Linked DNA regions of Lonchura striata. The protein of the gene in region 3 interacts with the protein of the main gene of each other region in a biochemical or structural test. Links are inferred from orthologs where the notes say so. Each region holds a gene or a part of one and is shown on either strand. Other genes may lie near its edges. The genes, in order: STAM2, STAM and USP8.

What was found.
Region 1: the proteins of USP8 (region 3) and STAM2 form a complex in vitro, tested with the Homo sapiens proteins (3 studies listed by BioGRID, with this or other methods). The link is inferred for Lonchura striata from reciprocal best matches to the Homo sapiens genes USP8 and STAM2.
Region 2: the proteins of USP8 (region 3) and STAM form a complex in vitro, tested with the Homo sapiens proteins (2 studies listed by BioGRID). The link is inferred for Lonchura striata from reciprocal best matches to the Homo sapiens genes USP8 and STAM.

The regions. Positions count from the first base shown.
Region 1 is NC_134610.1:1,561,513-1,568,439, reverse strand, and holds the start of STAM2 (signal transducing adapter molecule 2), read right to left. Parts: upstream 3,030-6,927; 5' UTR 2,961-3,029; coding exon 2,921-2,960; intron 1-2,920.
Region 2 is NC_134603.1:136,688,451-136,695,959, reverse strand, and holds the start of STAM (signal transducing adapter molecule 1), read right to left. Parts: upstream 3,067-7,509; 5' UTR 2,957-3,066; coding exon 2,917-2,956; intron 1-2,916. UniProt on the Homo sapiens protein: Involved in intracellular signal transduction mediated by cytokines and growth factors. Upon IL-2 and GM-CSL stimulation, it plays a role in signaling leading to DNA synthesis and MYC induction. May also play a role in T-cell development.
Region 3 is NC_134613.1:14,580,486-14,587,766, forward strand, and holds the start of USP8 (ubiquitin carboxyl-terminal hydrolase 8), read right to left. Parts: upstream 3,064-7,281; 5' UTR 2,950-3,063; intron 2,917-2,949; exon of another isoform or gene 2,749-2,916; intron 2,633-2,748; coding exon of another isoform or gene 2,630-2,632; exon of another isoform or gene 2,622-2,629; intron 2,615-2,621; exon of another isoform or gene 2,566-2,614; intron 1-2,565. Other genes in the region: GABPB1 (GA-binding protein subunit beta-1), read left to right, coding at 2,630-2,632. UniProt on the Homo sapiens protein: Hydrolase that can remove conjugated ubiquitin from proteins and therefore plays an important regulatory role at the level of protein turnover by preventing degradation. Converts both 'Lys-48' an 'Lys-63'-linked ubiquitin chains.

The DNA.
Region 1 (6,927 bases), on a different chromosome or scaffold from region 3:
TAGGTTTGTTCAAGAACCCTGCAGAGTTCCAAAAAAATCCACCTGAACAAATACACCAGTTTGAGCCACGTGAAATGTGAGTGTGGTCAAACAGCAAACTGCACCAGGGAGTTGAAATTAGAAATAAAATAATAAATAAACCAGGAAACCAGCTCAAAATGAAACAAGAGATTGTGTGGCAACAAGAGCACTCAAACTCTTCCATTTTGGCCAGGACAAAAATCCCAGGAATGTTGAATTCTTCTCTTTCCTAGGGTGCCAACAAGAAAGCTGAGCCTGGTGTCTCACTTATTTCACTGTTTTTTTCAGTGCTGCCATTGAGAACAGACGTTGTGTAACAAAAAAGTGACACAGAGCACGAGTTTAAGGAAGCACGAGTCAGGGCAGGACACAAAACAAAACAACTGAGTCACCGTCTTCAGCCCAACTCCAGGCAGCTTCTGTAATCATTGAAGCACAGAATATCCTGAGTTGGAAAAGATCCATCAAGATCATCCAGCCCAGCTCCTGGCCCTGCACAGCCACCCCAACCTCTGTGTGGTTCTGGGGAAGCCACTGGGAAAAAATCCTCAATAAAAGGATGAAAAGCAGCTGATCTTCCAGCAGCCACAAGTATCCGAATCCCTGCAAACGCCATGGCGAGGCCAGGATGCACAGAGACACCTCTGGAAAACGCTGGGAAATTTCAGGAGTCGGAGCAAAACAGGCACAAACCATTCCTTGATGCTGCTGAGGGGAAGGGAGAGGGGGGAACCACGGATCCTTTCCCTGCCAGAGCCCCCAGCCCGGCCAGGATGTGTCAGGTGTGCCCTGGGCCCACCACAGCCACAGGAGGAATCCCGGGATTATTAAGGCTGGAAAAGCCCTCCCAGCCCATCCAGTCCCAGCTGTGCCCAAAGCCCACCTTATCCCCAGCCCAGAGCCCTGAGTGCCACCTCCAGGAATTCCAGGGACACCTCCAACCCTCCCTGGGCAGCCCCTGCCAAGGCCTGAGCACGCTTGCCAGGAAGAATTTTTCCCCCAAAATGCAAAAGATAGGATTTTAAGGACTTTCCGGGCTCCTTTTCTGTTGTTGGTGTGAGGGATTTGGAGCTGTGGGGGAGCACAAAATGTTCCCTGCCAGGAGGAGCTGGGGCAGGGCCACCTCTGCTGCTGGGGTGGGATTGATGGATATTCCCTTCTGGGAAAAGCCTTGGGATTCTGGTGCTCAGGATCCCAGAAATGAGGCTGGAAAAGAGCTCCAAGATCCCAAAGTCCCAGCTGTGCCCCATGCCCACCCTGTCCCCGCCAAGAGCCCCGAGTGCCACCTCCAGAATTCCTGGGACACCTCCAGGGATGGGCACTCCAACCCTCCCTGGGCAGTGCCAATCCCTGAGCCCCTTTCCATGGGGAAATTCCTGCTGGTCCCACCCTGAGCTCCCCTGGGCCAGCCTGAGGCCGTTCCCTCTGCTCCTGTCCCATTCCCTGGGATGATCCCAAATCCCCCCGGCTGTCCCCTCCTGACAGGGAATTCCAGAGAGGGAAAAGATCCCTGGGGATCCTCCTTGGCTCCAGGCTGAGCCCCTTCCCAGCTCCCTCAGGGATTCTCCATTCCCTTCCCAGCTCCCTCAGGGATTCTCCAGCCCCTTCCCAGCTCCCTCAGGGATTCTCCATTCCCTTCCCAGCTCCCTCAGGGATTCTCCATTCCCTTCCCAGATCCCTCAGAGATTCTCCAGCCCCTCTCCAGCTCCCTCAGGAATTCTCCATTCCCTTCCCATCTCCCTCAGGGATTCTCCATTCCCTTCCCAGCTCCCTCAGGGATTCTCCATTCCCTTCCCAGATCCCTCAGAGATTCTCCAGCCCCTCTCCAGCTCCCTCAGGAATTCTCCATTCCCTTCCCATCTCCCTCAGGGATTCTCCATTCCCTTCCCAGCTCCCTCAGGAATTCTCCATTCCCTTCCCATCTCCCTCAGGAATTCTCCATTCCCTTCCCAGCTCCCTCAGGGATTCCCCAGCCCATTCCCAGCTCCCCCAGGAATTCTCCATTCCCTTCCCAGCTCCCTTAGGAATTCTCCATTCCCTTCCCAGCTCCCTCAGGGATTCTCCAGCCCCTCTCCAGCTCCCTCAGGGATTCTCCATTCCCTTCCCAGCTCCCTCAGGGATTCTCCATTTCCTCTCCAGCTCCCTCAGGAATTCTCCATTCCCTTCCCAGCTCCCTCAGGAATTCCCCAGCCCATTCCCAGCTCCCTCAGGGATTCTCCAGCCCCTCTCCAGCTCCCTCAGGGATTCTCCATTCCCTTCCCAGCTCCCTCAGGGATTCTCCATTTCCTCTCCAGCTCCCTCAGGAATTCCCCAGCCCATTCCCAGCTCCCTCAAGGATTCTCCATTCCCTTCCCAGCTCCCTCAGGAATTCTCCAGCCCCTTCCCAGCTCCCTCAGGGATTCTCCATTCCCTTCCCAGCTCCACTCCAGCCCCTCAGTGTCTCCCTTGTCCCAGAGCAGTCCCCACCCTTGCGGTGTCCCCGCAGTGCCAGCACAGGGACGGGCACTGCCCCGGGCTGTGTCACACCGGGCTGGCACAGCCCAGGGACCACTGGCCTCCTGCCCAGCTGGGCACCAGCCCCTCCCAGGGCCTTTTCCAGCCTTCCAGGCCCTTTCCCAGCCCAGCACTCCCGGGGCTCGCTGTGACCCCGTGTCACACCGGCCTCACCCCACGGCTGCCGATCCCTCCTGCCCCAGCCGGGCCACGGTGCCCTCCTCGGGATCACCCACCGGGACCCACGCCGACCCCCGGCGCGGGGAACAGCGAGGCGAAAAGAGGAGGACAAGGAGAAGGAAACAGCCGAGGAGGAAAAGGAAGCGGGGAAAAAAGAGGAGGAAGAAGAGAATCTACAGCCCGAGCAGGCCGCCCCGCCGAGCCCAGCCGCCGCCGCGCCGCTCACCCACGTCCTGCTCGAAGGGGTTGGCGGCGAAGAGCGGCATCTCGGCCCGCCGTGCCGCCGCGCGTCCCGCACCGCCTGACCCGGCCGGAGCCGCCGCCGCGCCCGCCCCGCCTCGGCCGCTCCGCGCGCGGGGCTGCCCCGCCGCGCCCGCAGCGCCGCGCGGCCCCGCCGCGCCCGCAGCGCCGCCGGGATCGCGGCCGGGAGGGAGAACAGCGGAGCGGCCCCGCGCGATGAGGGGAACGGGGCGGGCGGCGGGAGCGCGGCGGCGGCAGGCGCGGCGCGGGGCCCCGCGGGGCGGAGCTGCCGCTGAGGGCGCGCCGACGCGACCCGCCGCCATGTCGCGGCGGCGCCTGAGGGAGCGAGCGCGGCGGGCGCCGCTCGTCCTTTGTACCCGAACTGCGCTTGTCTGAGGGCGCAAACTGCGCGGGCAGCTCGTCCTGGCTCGTCAAGAGGAAAAGTTAAAAAAAAAAAATAAAAGAAATAAAAACAGTGAACCGTTGGAAATGCTGAAAAAATTTCCCAGAGAGCTGCAGGGGAAGCGGGTCATGAGGCAGGGTCCTGCATGATTGTTGTCCAATGTGGAATGCGTAAAGGTTTTGTACAGGAAGGAAGTTCTTTTGTGTTAGGAAGGAAGTTCTTTGGTGTTAAGAAAGACGTTCTCTGGTGTTTGGAAGGATGTGCTCTGGTGTTTGGAAGGATGTTCTCTGGTGTTAGTTCTTTGTAGGTTGCAATGAGGATCGCCAGGAAGGGCGGTGGGAGACAGCAGCCAGCGAGCTCCCACTGATGTACAGTGCCGGAAAAACAAATTCCTCAGGCTGCAACTGCTGTGTTAAATTCAGGGCTTGTCAGCTCCAGTGAGGTCAGCTGTAGGTGAGGCTGAGAGCGTTCAGGAGGAAGGATTTGCCCTGGTTGTGGATCCAGGGATTTTCGTTCAAGAGGAAGGATTTCAATCCCTGGTTATGGATCCAGGGATTCCCGTTCAGGAGGAAGGATTTCAATCCCTGGTAGTGGATCCAGGGATTCCCGTTCAGGAGGAAAGATTTCAATCCCTGGTTATGGATCCAGGGATTCACATTCATGAGGAAGGATTTCAATCCATGGTTATGGATCCAGGGATTCACATTCATGAGGAAGGATTTCCTCTGTTAGTGGATCCAGGGATTCCCGTTCAAGAGGAAGGATTTCAATCCCTGGTTATGGATCCAGGGATTTGCATTCATGAGGAAGGATTTCAATCCCTGGTTATGGATCCAGGGATTCACATTCAGGAGGAAGGATTTCCTCTGGTAGTGGATCCAGGGAATGCGGGATTCCCGTTCAGCAGGAAGGATTTTGCCTCGCAGTGGATCCAGGGATTCCCGTTCAGAAGGAAAAATTTCTCCTGGTAGTGCATCCAAAATAAGCTGTTTCCTGAGCTGAATTTCCAGGGAATGCAGGATTCCTGTTCATGAAGAAGGATTTCAATCCCTGGTAGTGGATCCAGGGATTCCCGTTCATGAGGAAGGATTTCAATCCCTGGTAGTGGATACAGGGATTCCCATTCAGGAGGAATGGTTTCCTCTTGTTTGGATCCAGGGATTCCCGTTTAGGAGGAAAGATTTCCTCTGGTTGTGGATCCAGGGATTCCCTTTCATGAGGAAGGATTTCCCCTGGTATTGGATCCAGGGAATTCGATATTCCCATTCAGCAGGAAGGATTTCTCCTGGTTGTGGATCCAGGGAATGCAGAATTCCTGTTCAGGAGGAAGGATTTCCCCTGGCAGTGGATGCAGGGAATTCAATATTCCCATTCAGCAGGAAGGATTTCTCCTGGTTGTGGATCCAGGGAATGCCGGATTCCCAGGCCACAAAGGCATCTGGCAGAGCCCCCGGGGCAGGGAAGAAACCAACAGAGCCAATTCAGCGGCTGTGGTGAAATCAGCTGTGCCCGGGTAAAAGGGAATTAATTCCAGCAGGGGGTAAAAAACTGCCTGACCCTAAACGGGACAAGGGCACGGCATTAATTAGCATGAGGAACGAGAGAATCATTAACCAGCAGGAGAGAGGACACTAATTAATAACTGGCTGAGGAGATGAGGGGATTACAGGTTGTGGAGGGATGGTGGCAAACAGGAACATTCCACAGGGAACGTGGCTCAGTGACAGTTCAGATTTTTGGGATGTGTGGCCCCCCAAAAATCCCCATTATGGGCACACCTGAGCACCACCTGTCCCCATCCCTGCTGGGGGATCAGCTCCAAGTCCTTCCTGTGAGGAACAAGTGGGATGAGTCAGGGGTTGTACCCAGCACCGGTGCCTTTGGAATATGCACAGTCACCCATGTGGGAGCGGGCCTGAGTCACTGCGTTACCCACTGCTGAATTCTGAGTTATTCCCAAAGAATTTGTGCCTAATTCTGAGTTATTCCCAAAGAACCTGTGGCAAAGCACAGCACCCACTGCCTAATTCTGAGTTATTCCCAAAGAACCTGTGGCAAATTGAGTTATTCCCAAAGAACCTGTGGCTAATTCTGAGTTATTCCCAAAGAACCTGTGGCAAAGTGAGGCATGGCAGCAGCACAGTTCCCAATTCTGGGAGAAGGGCAGGATTTTGGAAGTCCAACACAAATTATTGCAGCATTCCTGAAAGCTTCCTGTATGATTCAGTGATATTTCCCTGCCCACTCACCTTGAATTTCAGGGGCCACATTCCTTTCCTCAGCTGTAATACCAAAGTGTAAGATTCAGAGCACGTGTGAAAACAGTATTTTTAGCACCTTTTGTAAAGAGATTTAATTCTTATATTGTAATTGAATTGAATTATACATTTGAATAATTATAAATTATTATTATTTATTAAAATTTCATTTGGAGATGTTCCTACAAAAATGTAGTGCTTCGTTTTTGTCATGAAAACAGCTCATATTTTTGGAACATCTTGTACTTCAAAACATTGGGTTTTAAATCAGCTGTGATGACCTGGGGCTATCAAAGCTTCTCTGTCGGGATTTTTGATTCTGGAATTCCATCAAATCAGCAAGGTTGGAGGAGACCTTTCAGCTCAACGCCTTGAAGTGGATGGGCTGTGTGAGGAGGCGGTGGAGGTCCAAGGAGCGTTCCCTTCCCGGTTTTCCAGGCTTTTTCCAGGGATTCCGGCTGTCTGCAGGGGGCACAGTTGCCTCGCATTCCCGGCCACCCTTTGCCATCCCGATCCTGCTGCTGGGAATCGCCTCCTGCCAGATTTTTTAAGACAAAATGCAGAGTCTTTCCCGAGGTCTAAATTCACTAATTGCATCGAAACTTCTCCTTTCATTTAACGACTCGGAACGAGAACGGCATTCATTGGTTTAATTGCCTTAAAAGAGGAATTATGAACCCATTAGCACGGGAAGGCACCGAACACTGATGTTGTCTGGCCAAAGTGGGAATTTGGAATGGATCCTGGTTAATTCCAGAGTTTTGGCTTTCATGAACTCCACTCATTCCACGTGGTGCCGCAGTCAGAGCAGCTGGCCGTGGAAACGAAGGGATGGTTCCTCCATTTCCATAGGTTTTGTCACCTCAAATCAAACGTGGAGCTTTGCTCCATTCTCTTTTGGACATGGTGGGACCACGCATCCAAGACCACCTGGAAAGGAAGGATTGGGAAGGGCTTTCCGCTGAGTCTGAGCCTCCCAGCTCCAAGGAGTCGTGGAGAACATCCAGTCCAGGAGCACCTACAGAACTCCTGCTTTGGGTGACACCACAGCCAGAGCCACAATTCCCAAAGGAAAAATCCCACAGGAAATGGTAAAAATCAACAACAATACAGAAAGGAAAGGAAAATATCAGGGCACGGAGTAATGGAGGAACAAACTATTCCTTAAGGAGAAGCAAGGAGGAGAGGACAGCAAAATGATCTGAAAAGAAGCTGTTTCCAGAGCTGTATTTGCAGCCTCTGGCTCTGGGAATCTCTGTCTCCCTGAGCAGTCTGTGCCCCCGTGTCCCAGCTGTGTTCCCACCATTAGGCCCAGCTGCCTGCACCGTGTCC
Region 2 (7,509 bases), on a different chromosome or scaffold from region 3:
TTTCATCTGAGTCAAACTTGCAGATAAATCTGCATTTTTCAGGAACAACTTGCTGGGAATAATTTTATGATTTTAAGATTAAGAAATACAGCAGAAACATAAAACCCACAAACCTAATAAGAACACTTATAATTCTAACCCCTTAAATGGAAGATTAGAGTTTCTTAATTATACTCTCAACAGGCCCAGTTCTTGAAGATTTTTTCCTTTTTTTAAATTCCATGTTCCTTACTTGGGCACATCATCAAAGGTTCCCCAACTTGATTCTGAAAACTTGTGTCACCACTGATTAGCATCCAGTCCTGTTGAAATATTCCTAACTATGGTGAAAAAGAAACTTCAGAAAATGAAAACTATTTGGACTTCATCCAGAGAATTGGACTCTTGAAGATGACAGTGGTTAACCTTCACAAATCTTTGGACATCTTTAATATTATTAATTTAATAGCAGTCTTAAATAACATTCTTTAGCCAACTACACCTAAAAAAAACAGGCGTACAAAGTTGGTACAAATGATAATATATTATGGATGACCAGGTTCCACTGCAGCAGCATGCTAACAGGACTAGCCAAATGCTGCTAGCTGGCCAGACAAACTGCAAAATTTGTCCTGAAGGTAAGACATACTTATGCTCCTCAAAATAATGCAAAACAATTTAGTTCCAGGTATGCTCTCTGCAATCCATTACCCTAAATGGTTCCAAGATAATTTCCAACTATTGCACAGTACTGATCAGCTGTTCAGTAGACAAGAATGCACTATAGCTATAGTATAGCTATCACTATACTATCAACTACACCAATGTCCACATTTGTATGAAATTAAGAATAGCTGCTGACTGCCTTTCTGCTTCTGGAATCTGATTTTAAAAAGAAAACTTTCTTGCTGGATAAGAACAAAAGCAGAACGCTCAACTTTCACTCACAGCAAACCAATGAAAAATAGCACTATAGCTTCACAACTTTTGGAAGTTTCTTGAGAACATGAGAGTTTACTCTACAGCTGATGCTATCTTATGAAGCCTGCCAAAAAATTCATCCAGATAATAGCAAATTCCCAAAGGGCCCCAGAGAAGAGCCCAGGGGTGCTTTCCGGGAGACTTCATCACTGCCATCTCCCTGGCACAAATCCAGTGAAGTGATGGATAAAGGCAGCAGGGTCCTGAAAGTAGGCTGTCACCAACTGAACAGCCTGCTGCTCCCTCAGGACACCATGAAAGGGGCCAAAAGGGGCTGTTTACCAGTGAAAATCAGCTCATGGCCCATTGTCTGCTTTTCCAAAAATGATTTGGTACTGAGTGGTTATTTCTATCTCCTCATACTCTTTACAGAGTAATGCTTTTGAAAGTTCTTCACTGCTGATCATATTAGGCAAGCACCATAGATAGGAGGTTGGCATCCTCTGCACCTAGAAAAGAGCAAATGAGCCACTGAAATAACTGACGGGTGCTACTGCCCTGCCTTGTGACTCACAGTGCTGAGGAGCACATCCAGTGAATTGAGCTCCAGAGACACCCCTTCAAGCAGTCTGAGCTCTCCTGCCAGCAAGAGGCACTAACAAGAAAAAAAGTGAACACCTGCCAGAACCTGAGCCTATCACTTTTTAATCTTATTAGTTCAAATAATTCTCAAATAGTCCCTTATAGCTGTCAAATTACACTAGAAGACAGCAGAACAACTAAGAAGAATTCTTTACTGCTTTCCAAAATAAGTCAGCTTTGCTACCAACAAAATCATTCATTGAAGTGCAGTCTTCAGCTTAAAAGTTAACAGTTCAAAATGAGAAGACCGAGGTATGTCTTATTTTGATGCAATAGACTAAGATTTTCTGATAACATAAAAACAGAATTTATATCTCAGTACTTTGTTTATTCAATAATCCTTTCTCCTGAAATGCTATACTTTTCAAATGGCTTTGACTTGGTATTTCTTTGAAGCGCTGGAAGAATTTAATTGGAGCCTAAACACCTGAAGTTTGATATTAAATATTAAGAAACTGCAGTTGAATATTAATATCTGCAGTTGAAAGTTACAGCTAGTTTAACACTATTAAAGAAATTAGTTTCAAGAGACTTAAATAATGTTACACTTCTGTAAGAAAATAACCAAGGGGTGTATTTATGCACATAGGAGAAAAAGTCCCTTTATATTATGGGATTCTCCAGACAAAGCCTTTATGGCTCAAAGCTAAAGAGATGTCAGCAGCAGGTCAAAAACCAACCATATTACACAATCTCAAATAAAACACACAAAACTAATTATTAACTGTCTATATGTTATTTTAACTTCAGTTTCAACACATCAGCATTAAGTCCAATTTTTGTCAAGTAAAAGCCAGATACTTCTCCACCTAATCTGGCCTTTTGGAACAAGCAAAGTGGGGATAACACCTGAGCTCAGCACATCAAGTTTTACTTGAAAGGAAAAGAGAAAGCTCCCACAGGAATCCCCTTTAAAGAACTAAATACAAAACGCTTTAACGATTTTCTCACGCCTGTCTGTGAAGCGACTGTAGATGGTGCTTTTTTCTGTTCATCCTTTCAAAAACACTCCAGCGCGGACCTTTCGCGCCGCTTGTTTTGCTGGCGCTGAGCAGGCCAGCTCGTCCCCCAGGAGCATCCCCGCGCTCGGCGCCGCGGCCCGCAAGGCCAGAAGGGCCGCGGGGCCCCGGCGCTGTCCCCGGCAGCTCCGGCCGCCCCCGCCGGGACGCGGCCCCGGCCCGCCCCGGCCGCTCCGTGGCCCCGGCCCGCCCGGGCCCCGCCGCTGCTGCGGCTTCCCGGGCGGGCGCCAGGGGCCCGGCAGCGCAGGGCCGGGACAGCGGCCGGCTGCCGCGGGGATGGAGCCAGCGCGGGTCCGGGGGCCGGCCCGCCGAACGCGGGATCACCGGGGAGAGGCCGGGCCGCGGAGCCACTCACCCACATCCTGGTCGAAGGGGTTGGTGGCGAAGAGCGGCATGGCGGGGCGGGGGGCGGCCGCCCCTCCCGGCAGTGGCGGCGGCGAGAGAAGGAGAGCAGCCCTCGGCGGCGGCGGCGGCGGCTCCTCCTCCCGCCCCGGCAGCGCCGCCACCGCCTCCTCCCAGCGCCGGGCGCCGCCTCCCGCGCAGCACGCCGGGAACCGGGGCGGGAACCGGGGCTGGAACCGGGGCGGGAACCCGGGCGGGAACCCGGGCTGGAACCGGGGCTGGAACCCGGGCTGGAACCGGGGCGGGAACCGGGGCCGGGCCCGCCGCCACCGCCCCCCGGCCTTCCGCGGGACCCGCAACACCCGCCCTGCCCCGCCCCGCCATCGCAGGTGGGCATCTCAGCCCCGGCACGGCTGCCCTAGGCGGAGGTTTATATTATTTAGTTACGTGAGGTCTTTCCTCCGCCCGTGCTTGTGAGGCGAGATGGTTTTGTACCCAGACACATTTGATTTCTATGGGAGATTTTTGGAGCTTCCCTATACGTTGGTCTGACTGAATCTTTTCATTGGCAATGCCACGGTGCTTGTGGCACGGTAGCCTGGCGGCAAAGGGCAGGCTGGTGGTTGTGCCAGATCTCTCACAGCATCACACGGGAGCCTGGCCGTTTCTCCGCGGTCACATCTCATGGAGGGCAGTAGCTATCGGCTGGTCACAGGGCCTGGAATATCCCGTGGCCTCTGGTTCTCTATCTTGGTGCTCCACTTTGTAAGCCTGTGTTGCTGGCTTCAGTGGGGTGTGTCCCACGTTAACAATATGACTCATTGGATAAGACACGTTCTGCATATTCCTGCTGTGACATAAAACTCAAGTCATTATCCTTAATGCCTTTTAGTACTGTTCGATACTCTGAACTGGTTGGATTGCAAATTAAGTAAAACTAGGCTCATGTATACGCTTGGGGAAAGAGTCAGACAGAGCAATTGGAGCACATCACAGGCACGCAAACAAGAAATGAAAGAGGTGCTATGACTGTTTGCAGGGCAGAAACACTGGATGTGATCAATAGCATTAACTATGCTCAATAATGAATGTGATTGCATGCATTAGGCAGACTTCTGACACATCAAATGAAAACTGCACACCAAGCCTTTTCCCACAAGGATTTACAGTCACTAAGCACTTTGTTATTTTACTAAGGTTTCTTTCCCAGACCTCTAGTTCTGCTTTACTGTTTAGCAACTGTTTTCAGTAGCTAATGCAGGTCAGCATTGATCTGCTGTGTAGAACTGACTACTTGTAAGGAATTTCATGTTTTCTTTGGATTCTACCTCTATTCAACTACTAAATACTCTCAGAGGATACTTTACCTCCTCCCCATTCATCATCCCCCATTATGTTCACAAAAGACATATGGTAGATGTCCTCTGAGCCTGCTTTATCCCCTCCTTTCTCATCCCTTCTTTCCGATCAGTTCAAAATTAATGGTAGGAATCCTTTCAAAACAAGCAGAGCTTTTATTCAGTCGTCCTGCAGGAAGAGCTAACACAACACTTGTGGGGAACTGGGGTTTTAGACTGCCTTCAGCCTAAAAGCATTCCAACCCAATCTTCCTTCCCAATACCTTACTGAACATTTTGAAAAAAGGCAGTCTATACCAGGAAGCATCTTAAGGGTTTGTAATCATGGCTCATATTTTAATTCTGTAATGATTTTTTTTTTACTGTGGACACAGTGTGAAGTACTTCCAAAACTCCATATTGTATTGATTTCTCCCTCTTTTCCCTGTCTCGTGACTCTAGCATTTTTCCATGGCTGGTAGGTAGAGCACTCTCCCAGGAAGAGGGAGGTTTGCCCTCTCTGACATAAATGGCTATCGAAACCAGCTTTTCCACCTTATGTGTGAGTAGTATAATGAATATGCTATTAAGAACAGGTGTGTTAATCTATATGCTATTAATAAACAGGTGTGAACTACATCTTTACTGGATGTAGTTCAAAATGCTTGTATTATTTCCTACTGCTGCCTAAGTTAGCTATCTAAAAGTAAGGCATACAGATCAAAGATACAGTCTCAAATTGCATCTAATTTTGGGGGATCTACAGCTGAAAGAGAATGTAGCAACACTGCCCTGTGCCCACAACTATGTGCTGCCACCACATTTCTTGTATTAGATTTGGAATTTGATCCATTTCATTTGTGGCTGCACAATCAGCTGATCCAGCTGAAAACTACCTCACTGCAGAGAAGTTCCCTGTTGGATCATGTCATACCTCTGACTCACCTTGGAATTAGATCAGGCATGTGAAGAGGTGGGAAGGCATGGCTGGGGACAGTACTTCAGCAGTCTGGGTCAGGAAAAACAGGCATGTCCAGGGGATTATTCATCTGTTCTATTTTGGACCTCATTCTGAAGATGGCCTCTGCAACAGTGACTCTGTTGATTTCACAGATGAGCCTATTTGTCCAACAGTTCTCTGACTTAGGGCTTGTCTCTAGACAGCCTTATAGCAAGTTTTAAGTAGGGTGTTGTTTTTTTTTTTTAAAATGTGTGCTACTTTTGTCTGAAGTAAGCAGTCTCAGATGACTGGTGCAGGCATGTCTTTTTTCTTTGCACACTTCTCTTTTTATATAGTACTGTTGTTCAGATACAGCTAAGAGATCACAGAATGGCTTGGGTTAGAATGGACCTTAGTGGTAATCTAGTTCAAATCCCCCTGCCCTAGGCAGGGACACTTTCCACTACACCAGGTTGTTCACACCCCTGTTCAATCTTTGAACCACTGCCAGGTTTGGGGCACCCACAACTTCTCTGGGCAACATGTTCCAGAGCCTCACCACCCTGACAGCAAATAATTTCTTCCCAATATCTCATCTAAATCTACCCTGTTTCAGTTTTAAAGCCATTACCCCTTGTCTTATTGCTGTGTCACTACAATGTCCTTGTTAAAAAGTCCCTCTCCACCTTTCTTGCAGGCACCTTTCAGATACCAGAAGGCTGCAATGAGTTCTCCCAGAGCCTTCTCTTCTCCAGTCTGCACAGCCCTAATTCTCTCAGCCCATCTCCATAGCAGAGTTGCTCCAGCTCTCTGATCATATTCATGGCCTCCTCTGCACTCATTCCAGCAGGTCCACATCCTTCTTATGTTGGGGTACCCCGAGCTGAATCCAGTACTCCAGGTGAAGTCTCATAAAGGCAGGTATTCAGTTAATTTTCAGCATAACACGCTTCCTGGATTTTAAAGATGTGACATACACCTAAATTTGATAAAGTGTTTTACTTATGCTGTTTGTTTATATAATTTGTGACTTTTACTTAAAATTATGACAAGAGTTTATTCATATGAAGGTAAATTTTGGATTCTGATGATATACAATTATTCATTTTTCTATAGTCTTCTGTAGGAAAGGATATCTAAGAGGACCAACTTGTAAATCTGCTGGGGAAGTTCTAATGTTCTTTACAATCACTCAGTTGACATCCATCTGCATTAGACAAGCATTTTCTTAAAATAAGGCAAAGCCATTATAGACATAGCGACCCACTGCAGCTCCAGTTTGCTGGGGTAGTATTTTATTTGTCATGCCCATTTATTTTAGCATATCTTGGTAGCTGCTGCATTGTAAAAACAAAGTGTATGGTGCCAGGAAAAAGTCAGGCCAGTACACTTCTAGCAAGGAGACAGATATGAAGAACAATGATTGTCTCACAAATCAGTCCCACTGACCTTTATTTTAACTGCATTTTCATTATAGTCTACTGTGTACATTGCTTTTGGAACTGGAAACTGTGAAGAAAGGATAATCAAAGGAAAAGAGAAAAGCTCAGAATAGAGTAAGTGCCAGCCATCCATTTAATCACAGTTTTTGTCTTTGACAGGGCAAGAACAAAATGTTTTGGATGGCTTACAAGATGCTGTACTGCATAACGATACAATGATATGACAAAGACAAAATTTTTCCAGTTACAGGGCACATGTAGATGCTTTAGCTACTGGACCATAGTGATTTACTTCCCATCTATAACCTTACTGTATATGTTCTAATATTTTGCAAGTGTCCAAGCAGCATGGCTTACAGTAATCTTATCTATTCCATTATGTATGGAGAAAATATATGAAACATATCAATACAGTATGTCTGGTGTCTGGTGTTAGGAAATCAGGCTAAAATTATTTAATTGTCGCTTTTTGCCTTAATATTTATGAAGTATGCAAGTAGGATTATATGAAGCAAATAACTGGAAATCCTTCAAACCCATGTAATCTTAGAACTAGGCAAAGATTCTACTATTAAATTTTGTAAAATAATTCATTTTGCCCTGACAACATTAAACACTGTGATGTGCAACTTTCTAGTTAATATTTGCACAGGGATGCCAGAAACAAGGGTTTATATCTTCCTCAGTCTCTCTGAATTCAAAGCAGTAATTTCGAAGCAACTCACATGAAGAAATATTTAATACATTTACACTGAAGTTTTGTTAAATTATTTTGGAAAACAAGTTCATTGAAGTCAAACACAAAAATATGTTTATGCTATTTGCTTGAGTACTCTTATGGTAATCTATTGTGATCTACCTGTGAAAGGCAGGTAACCTGTAAGGTG
Region 3 (7,281 bases):
TGGAGATGCCTGTCCCTGTGTAACCTTCTAAAATACTTCTAATTCCTTGCCCAGGAAGCTGAACTATATTACAGCACCTAGAGGTACAGTAACATTGGTTGGCACTGGGCACATGAAAGGCTCAGACAATTTATCCATCTGTAGTTTGCAGTGTGAGTGCTCAGATCTGTGAAAGGTTCTGGGAGAAATGAGAACGGTGCTATGTCCTCTATATAGTGCAGAAAAGTGAACACAAAGTAAGTCAATAGAATCCAACAACTCTAAGCTGAACTGAATATAACACCACACTCTTGTAAGTGCCTTTTTCAGACCTGCTCTATGTGTTTTAGCCAGGGTGAGTGATGCCAGAAGGTTATGACAAGATGGAAGGGGTAAGTTCACTGATACCAGAGCTTGGGATGTGTACAAATTAATGTTGACACTCATACTCACTGCTGTCCAAACTGGACTCAGAGAACCTCTTTATTGTTTCTCTTATATGAAAAAATTGCATGATACAATCTTTGGTTTTACTTGTATGGGCAAACCCCAGCCATATTAGAAAAGTGTTTGGGGAGGAGTTGCCTGTGCAATTAGCTTTACCCCACTCCAGAGCTTGTTAAAACATGCTAATGATGTTGATTATGTTATAACATGCTGTGGTTGCCTCAGGTTAGAACACATTTTCTTATCAGCACATATGTTCTTGTGTAGCAGTACTAAATAAATAAAATAATTTTAGTAGAAATTGGTGTGCTTTTAGATTAGTTAGCTAAAAAAAAAAAAAAATAGTACCATCTTCTAAAGCAGGGTAAAGTAGAAACCATACTTTACAGATGTGAAATGTGTTCTGAGTTGCCTACATCTAACATACAATGTCTCTCTCTTACATGTTTTGGTGAATCCTGTAAAAAAACTAGACATGATTATTTTGTGATCATATTAATGAAAATTGATATACAGTGCTAATGGACCAAATGCATTCTTCACCTTTATGAAAGATTGTCAGTAATATGGAAATTTTGGCTTTTCTGTAGCACTGCTGCTAACACCAGTCTTCCTGTTTTATTGGCACACGCCTGTGAGCACACTGTAACATTTTTTGTGTCTACCACTACTGCATAAATGAAAAGCCATACCTGACATGCTAATTCCTTGTTGAGAGACACAGACACTTGCCAACAAGGAACGTGCTGAAGGTTGGATGTAAGGTTTCCATGCCCTGAGTGACCAGTGGCAGCCCTGAGGTATTTGGAATTGTTCCGTACTGCCGCCTTTTGGCTCAGCACGCCCAGAAAAACCAGTCCACAGGTGACAGAAAGAAACGGTTACCTTGGAATTTTGTTATTGGTATTTTGTACAAAGCTGCATTAGATAGGTCAAAGGCAAATAATAACGGCTCTGTAAACAGTGTTATAACAAGTATTCCTCTAATTATCTAGTGGGTATTATAATCTCCAAAATAACAGACTAGAATTCTGTCATTGGTATGTTTTCCTGTAAGATGAGAATTATGAGATCCATGCTTCACAGTAGCAGATGTATGACTTGGAGCAGCTTTGGGGAAATTGTGAGCACAACTATTTTGGATTGTTGAAACAAAACTACGAGAAAAATGTTTCAGGGCCTGGGCTGTCAGGTTCAGTACCAGCCTGGGACTGAAGGCCAGAGCCCTCTGAAGGAGCAGCAACATCTGAAGACTATTTTGGAGCTGTCATCCTGTCAAGTTCTATTTCTATGATCCCAAAGTGTAGCTTCCTCAGATTTGCAACTGGTGAGGCCAGACCTTGAATACTGAATCCAGTTCTCAGACCCTTAAGGAGGACATTTTGGGGCTGGAGCAGGTCCAGAGAAAGGCAATGAAGCTGGTAAGGGACCTGGAACACAAGTCCTATGAGGAGCAGCTGAGGGAGCTGGGGGTTCAGCCTGGAGGAGGCTCAGGGGTGACTTTATCACCCTCTACAACTCCCAGATACGAGGTTATAGCTACGTGGGAAGGAATTTGTCTCTCCCAGGTTACCTATGCAAGAACAAGAGAACATAGTTTTGAGTTCCACCAGGGAAGGTTTAGGTTGGACATTAAGAATTTCTTCACAGGGTGATTAGACATTGGAATGAGATGCCCAGGGAGGCGGTCCGTCCCTGGGGGTGTAGAGCTGGCACGCAGTGCCATTGCTCTAAGCTGACACGATAGTGTGGAATCACACGCTGGACTCTTATGATCTCTGACGCCTTCTCCAACCGATTTGGTTCCGTGGTTATCTCTAAAGCCCTGCCGCAGACAGGCAAGACAGAGAAGTCCATGCTCAGACAGCACACCCTCACGTGGGAGCACAAGCAGAGCCCCGCAGCCAAGAGGCGGGAAACTCAAGCCCCACCATTCTGTGCCACAGAGTAACCCGTGATAGCGACCCCTATCTTCATTCCACAAGCTGCCTCTAGGGAGGCCACCCGGGCCTGCCGAGAGCGCGGGGCCGGCCCTGCCCCCGCCGGGCGGGCAGCGGAACGGAACATGGCGGGGCCCCTCCAGCCCGCGCTTCCCCGCCTTTCCCCGCGGCGGCGCGCATGCGCGCTGCGCGGCGCTGAGGCCGTATCCCTCCGCGCGCCCCTTTCCCTCGATGTCTGTGTTAATAAGGTAATTCCCGCGCCCATGGTAAGTGCCGGGCGCCCCTCCGGGCCCGCCCGGGGCGCCCCGCGCCGCCTCGCGCCCGCCCGCGCGCCCGCGGCGGGGCAGAGCCGCGCGGAGCCGCGCCACTCCCCTCCGCCCGCCGTGTCCCTCCGCCGGGCGCGGCGCGGACTCTCGTGTGGGGCTGTCGGCCTGCGGAGCCCCGGGTCGGTGCGGCGGCGGCGGCGGCGGCCGGGCCGGCAGCACGGTAAGGGCCCGTCCCCGCGCCCCGTCTCTCCCTCACCCCCCCCGGGCCGGCCAAGCTTTTCCAGGTCAGTCTGCGCCTTTGTATAGGGCCCTGTTACCGGATGTGGAAGTTGATCTCTTCGCTGGTAAAAAATAATTCCACTTCCCCCGGAACCCGGCGCCGCGGCTCCCTCCGCAGCGCCCAGCCCAGCCAGGATTTCCTGTCGGGGAGAGCGGGCGGCCGGCCGGCCTTCCGGGGACCCCGCCGCGCGGGGGGCGCGGGCGGCGCGCTGGGCCGCGGCGGCGGCCTGGGCGGCCCGCGGGGCGCGGGCGAGCGCGACGCGCCCGGCGAGGGAGCCGGCAGCTGAGGGGCAGAGCGGGGCTCGGCTCGTCCCGCGGGCTTCTCCGCCGGGCAGCGCGGTGTGGGCCGCGTGGGCACGGTCCCGAGCCCCGCGTGGGCCGGGGGGCCCGGCGGGGCCGCGGCCCGGGCTGCTGAGGCGGCGGGGCTGCGTGCGCGAGCTTGGCGCCAAAGGTGCCCTGGGGAGAGGCGGCTCGGGCGGGAAGGGAGCGGCTTCCCCTCCGCAGTGCCCCTCGCCCGCAGTCTGTAACTCTCGCTTTGCACTCTTAATAAAGCCTATGATGGGAGCATAAAAGTGGGATACGATATGTTAGTGCGCATTGTCGTTTTTTTTTCTGATTTCCCCAAATACTCAAAGTAGTTTCCGTTGGTGGGACGCTGGTGGCACGTCGGTGAAATCCCCTGTAGGAAGTCGCCTGTGGTAGTTCTTAAGGCGTTTGTGTATTTTCCTTTAACCTGCTTGCTAAGGTGGCTTTGATTTAACGGTGAATGCTTCATAGTAGAGTTACATATGCTCAGAGTTGTGAATGCATACCCTGTAGTTCTTCAGCCTATTTTAATTTACTCGTTACTTCTGAATTATTAGTAAGACTGTGCAGTTAGCTGGATTTTGTGTGCAGTACAAATATTTGTAGGGGAACATAACTGTGCCATGTGAGTAAAGTTAAGAGTATATGTGGCAGATCAGAATATTCTAAATAGAGACTTGTTCATGACCTACTTTCTTTGCTGAAAACACTTTGTTTTCTAGTTGGATTTTTTTTTTTTTAGACAGAAACTGTCGAGGAAGATTCCTCATGGTAAAATGGATGTTGTAGGTAGGAGGTGGATGAATTTTATTTGGTGATATTTTCAAGCTTAATCAACCTGAGACGGTCTCCTAAGGCTGTGGTACAGTTCAAAAGCTGCATCACAAGCCCTTGGATTCTTTATGTCAATCACAGCTGCTGCAAATTAACGTTTTTGGTATCTAGTGCCAAATTTATTTGTGAAAACTGTGTAGCTTGTTGGCAGTGACAGTCCAAATCTGGGTGTCAATGGTTCACCCTTTTTGCATAACACTCTTTAGATGTTACAGATCATGGACAAATCTGTGCTCTCCTTTATAAAAAAAGATGTAGAAAAACCTTTTTTTATTTGAGTTGAGTTCATTGTTGATTGGTGCTATTTTAAGTTAATGTATGAGCCTAATAGGAGAACAGACCTGCATTAATAACAGGCCTGGCTGTCTTTGCCACTAAGCTATGCAACAATGTTTGCTTTTCTCAGATCAGGTATTTTCATCTGATGCATGTCTGACATGAAGGTCATATTACTGTTCAAGCAAACTAGAGAGAATTTAATTACAAATACAACAGTCAGGAAAGCAGAAAGCGCAGGAATTAAAGCTGACTGCAATTTACATATTAGTGTCATTTTCACTATCATGATAGAAATGTGGATAGTCTAAGCCTATTATATTAATATTTGAAGTATTGCTTGTGAAATCATTGTCAAAAGATGTTTGATTCACATACAAAACCAGACATGAACTTTTTGAGTTTATCCATGTAAGTTGCTATAATCACTGGCAATTGTCATGTATGTAAAATGATTCCAAAGTGTTCATGAGATGCTATATACTCTATTCTGTACTTCAAAATATTATTGATCTTGGTATGGACAGGCACATAAAATTAGCTAGAAATGGCTATTCTGAATTTCTAGCAATACTGTGAGATGTTAAAACCAGTAGGGTGGTAGCATTTTCGAAGGTCAGTTCTGGGGAAGCAGGTTAAATTGGTTTTTCCTTAAGTACTGGGAAGAAAAAGACTTTCTGAAAGGACGTTATTTTTCCAGATGTAATGGATGTGAGAGATGATGGGTCTCTAGCCATCTTCTAAGTGCAATTCTGCCATCTGTCACTTGAGCAGGGAAAAGTGTTTAATGAGCCTTTAATGGAGCTGTGTGATTTGACATCCTTACCAGAGACACAGTGTGTATTGACTGGAGTACCTTTGGTAAGTTGCACTGCTGCAGTCCATGCTCCTCCAGAATAAGGATGTCCCTTTCAGGAGTGCACCCTGGGACAAATGCTGGGCTGGAAGGTCTCCATGCTGCCAGATGTTCTGCCACAGCTGTTTTGGGCCTGTTGATCTTGACCAGCTGATGCTCAGCACTGCGGCGATAGAGAAGGAGCAGGTCTGGGTTCTTGGGGGCAGGACACCACTCGGAGAGATGGTGCAACATTTTAAGCCAAACTTGATTTTAATTTGGACTGCAGTGTCTGCTGCTCTATTGTCCGTAGACTGTGGTGTGGTAGCCAGGTGTCCCAAGTTGCCAGGTTTTTAGCTCCACTTGCTTCCCACAAAGCCTATTTCACACACAGTTCCACCTAAACTGTTGAGTGGCATTCTACACCCTGCTGGTAACACTGTGATCTTCAGAGATTAATAGAGTGTATAAAAACCTAAATCTAAGATGGATATGAAAAAGTAGTATAATTTTCCTTTGAACATAAGTAAAATAGCAATAATAATTTGATGTTATTTTAAATTACCGGTTAGTTGTGGCATCTGGCTAATGATACTGTGCAGAATACATTGCAGTAATGTGGAAGTTCAGGAGCTGATTAAACCAGAGAAGTCTAAACCCAGCAGAAGCTCTTCCCTATTTACTCAGTTATAGACCAAACCCTCTCTTCACACGTTTGTGTAGGAGCTCTTAGAAGTCTGAAAACATTATCACATTGCCATAAGAGTAACTCCAACAGTCTCAAGTCTTTATTTCAGAGCCACTGATGTTTTTATTCTCCAAAAAAGTCCTCATGCAAAGTGTTACACAGCTGTCATACTTAGCAGAGCTTGATGGAAATGACACAGTGAAGAGAACCCTCCAACACTGTTCAGCAGAGTTGATTTTAGCACTGTGGAGTAGTAGCAGACTGGTCTTTGAAATAGCAATCTCATTTCAATTTTAAATGTATTATTGTATCTTGCTTGTGATAGTATCACTGCACTATTGTAGTGTTGCTGAGCGATCTTGAGAGAGCAGCTGGAAAGGTTTTCTGGAATGGGAGGTTGTGACTCTGCAGACCCTTTTTGCTCTGTCCCAGGACTGCGATGAGTAGTGGGGAAGTTGGGTATGTTGTCACTGGGGGCTTTCCTACAATGCCAGTCCTTGGAATGGGCTCCAAGTGGAAATCAGCTTTGGGTTGACTATTCAGAAATTTTGTGAGTGCTAGTATTTATTGGTTAAAAGTGACTAAACGTGCATGAGTTTGTTGGAAATGCCTCTCTGTTTGCTGCTGTTAGTGCATTAGTGACGTAATGGGATTTTTATTATTTTAGTTGAACAGTGGAAATTTGTGGGTTTTTTTTTCTTTTTTCCACTAGATGGCCCAAGCATGCTTCCAAGTACTCCATGAGAACTGAAACATAATTAATTTCTCTTTTAACTGAAGTAAAAACTACATTGTGAGGCATATACCAACCTGTGTGATGCTTTGTGCTTGTTTAAAATACAAACACCTTATAGCAACCAAGACAGTGTTGGTTAATGTAAGGAATATGTGGTAATGAAAGGTTATTTTTTTCCTTGATTAGAACATTTTTTTATCAAGTGTAGTATAAAGCTATTTAGTTTTGCATTGAGCAGAGAACTGGATCATTGATTGTGCTCCACAGTAATTCAGGGAGTTCAGGGAGGCTCTTGAAAAGGTGTTGATCTGAAGTTGGTCCCTAACATCTCCTGGGGAGTGAGACTGGCATTTTGCAGGCCACCATAATTTATTTTTTTTTGGGGGGAGTGGCTTGAGTTTTGCTGCAGAGGGTTTTCATAACAGCTTTGCAGTTCATTTCAGTGTATAGATGTGGGCAGTGGGTTCTGAATAGGGTGTTAAATGTACAGACTAATTTAATTCAGTTTAACAGACATCAAGTATAACTTGTTATCATGAGTGTCTTTTTGGTTAGTGGAGGAAGATGAATATATACTGAAGTCAGCTCTTCTATGAGGGTGGTTGGACACTGAAATGAAGCTAAAGAAGTGGTAGGATGTTCATAGAGAGACATTCAAAACTCAGCAGGACTGAGCCCTGGGCCAGCTCTGACTG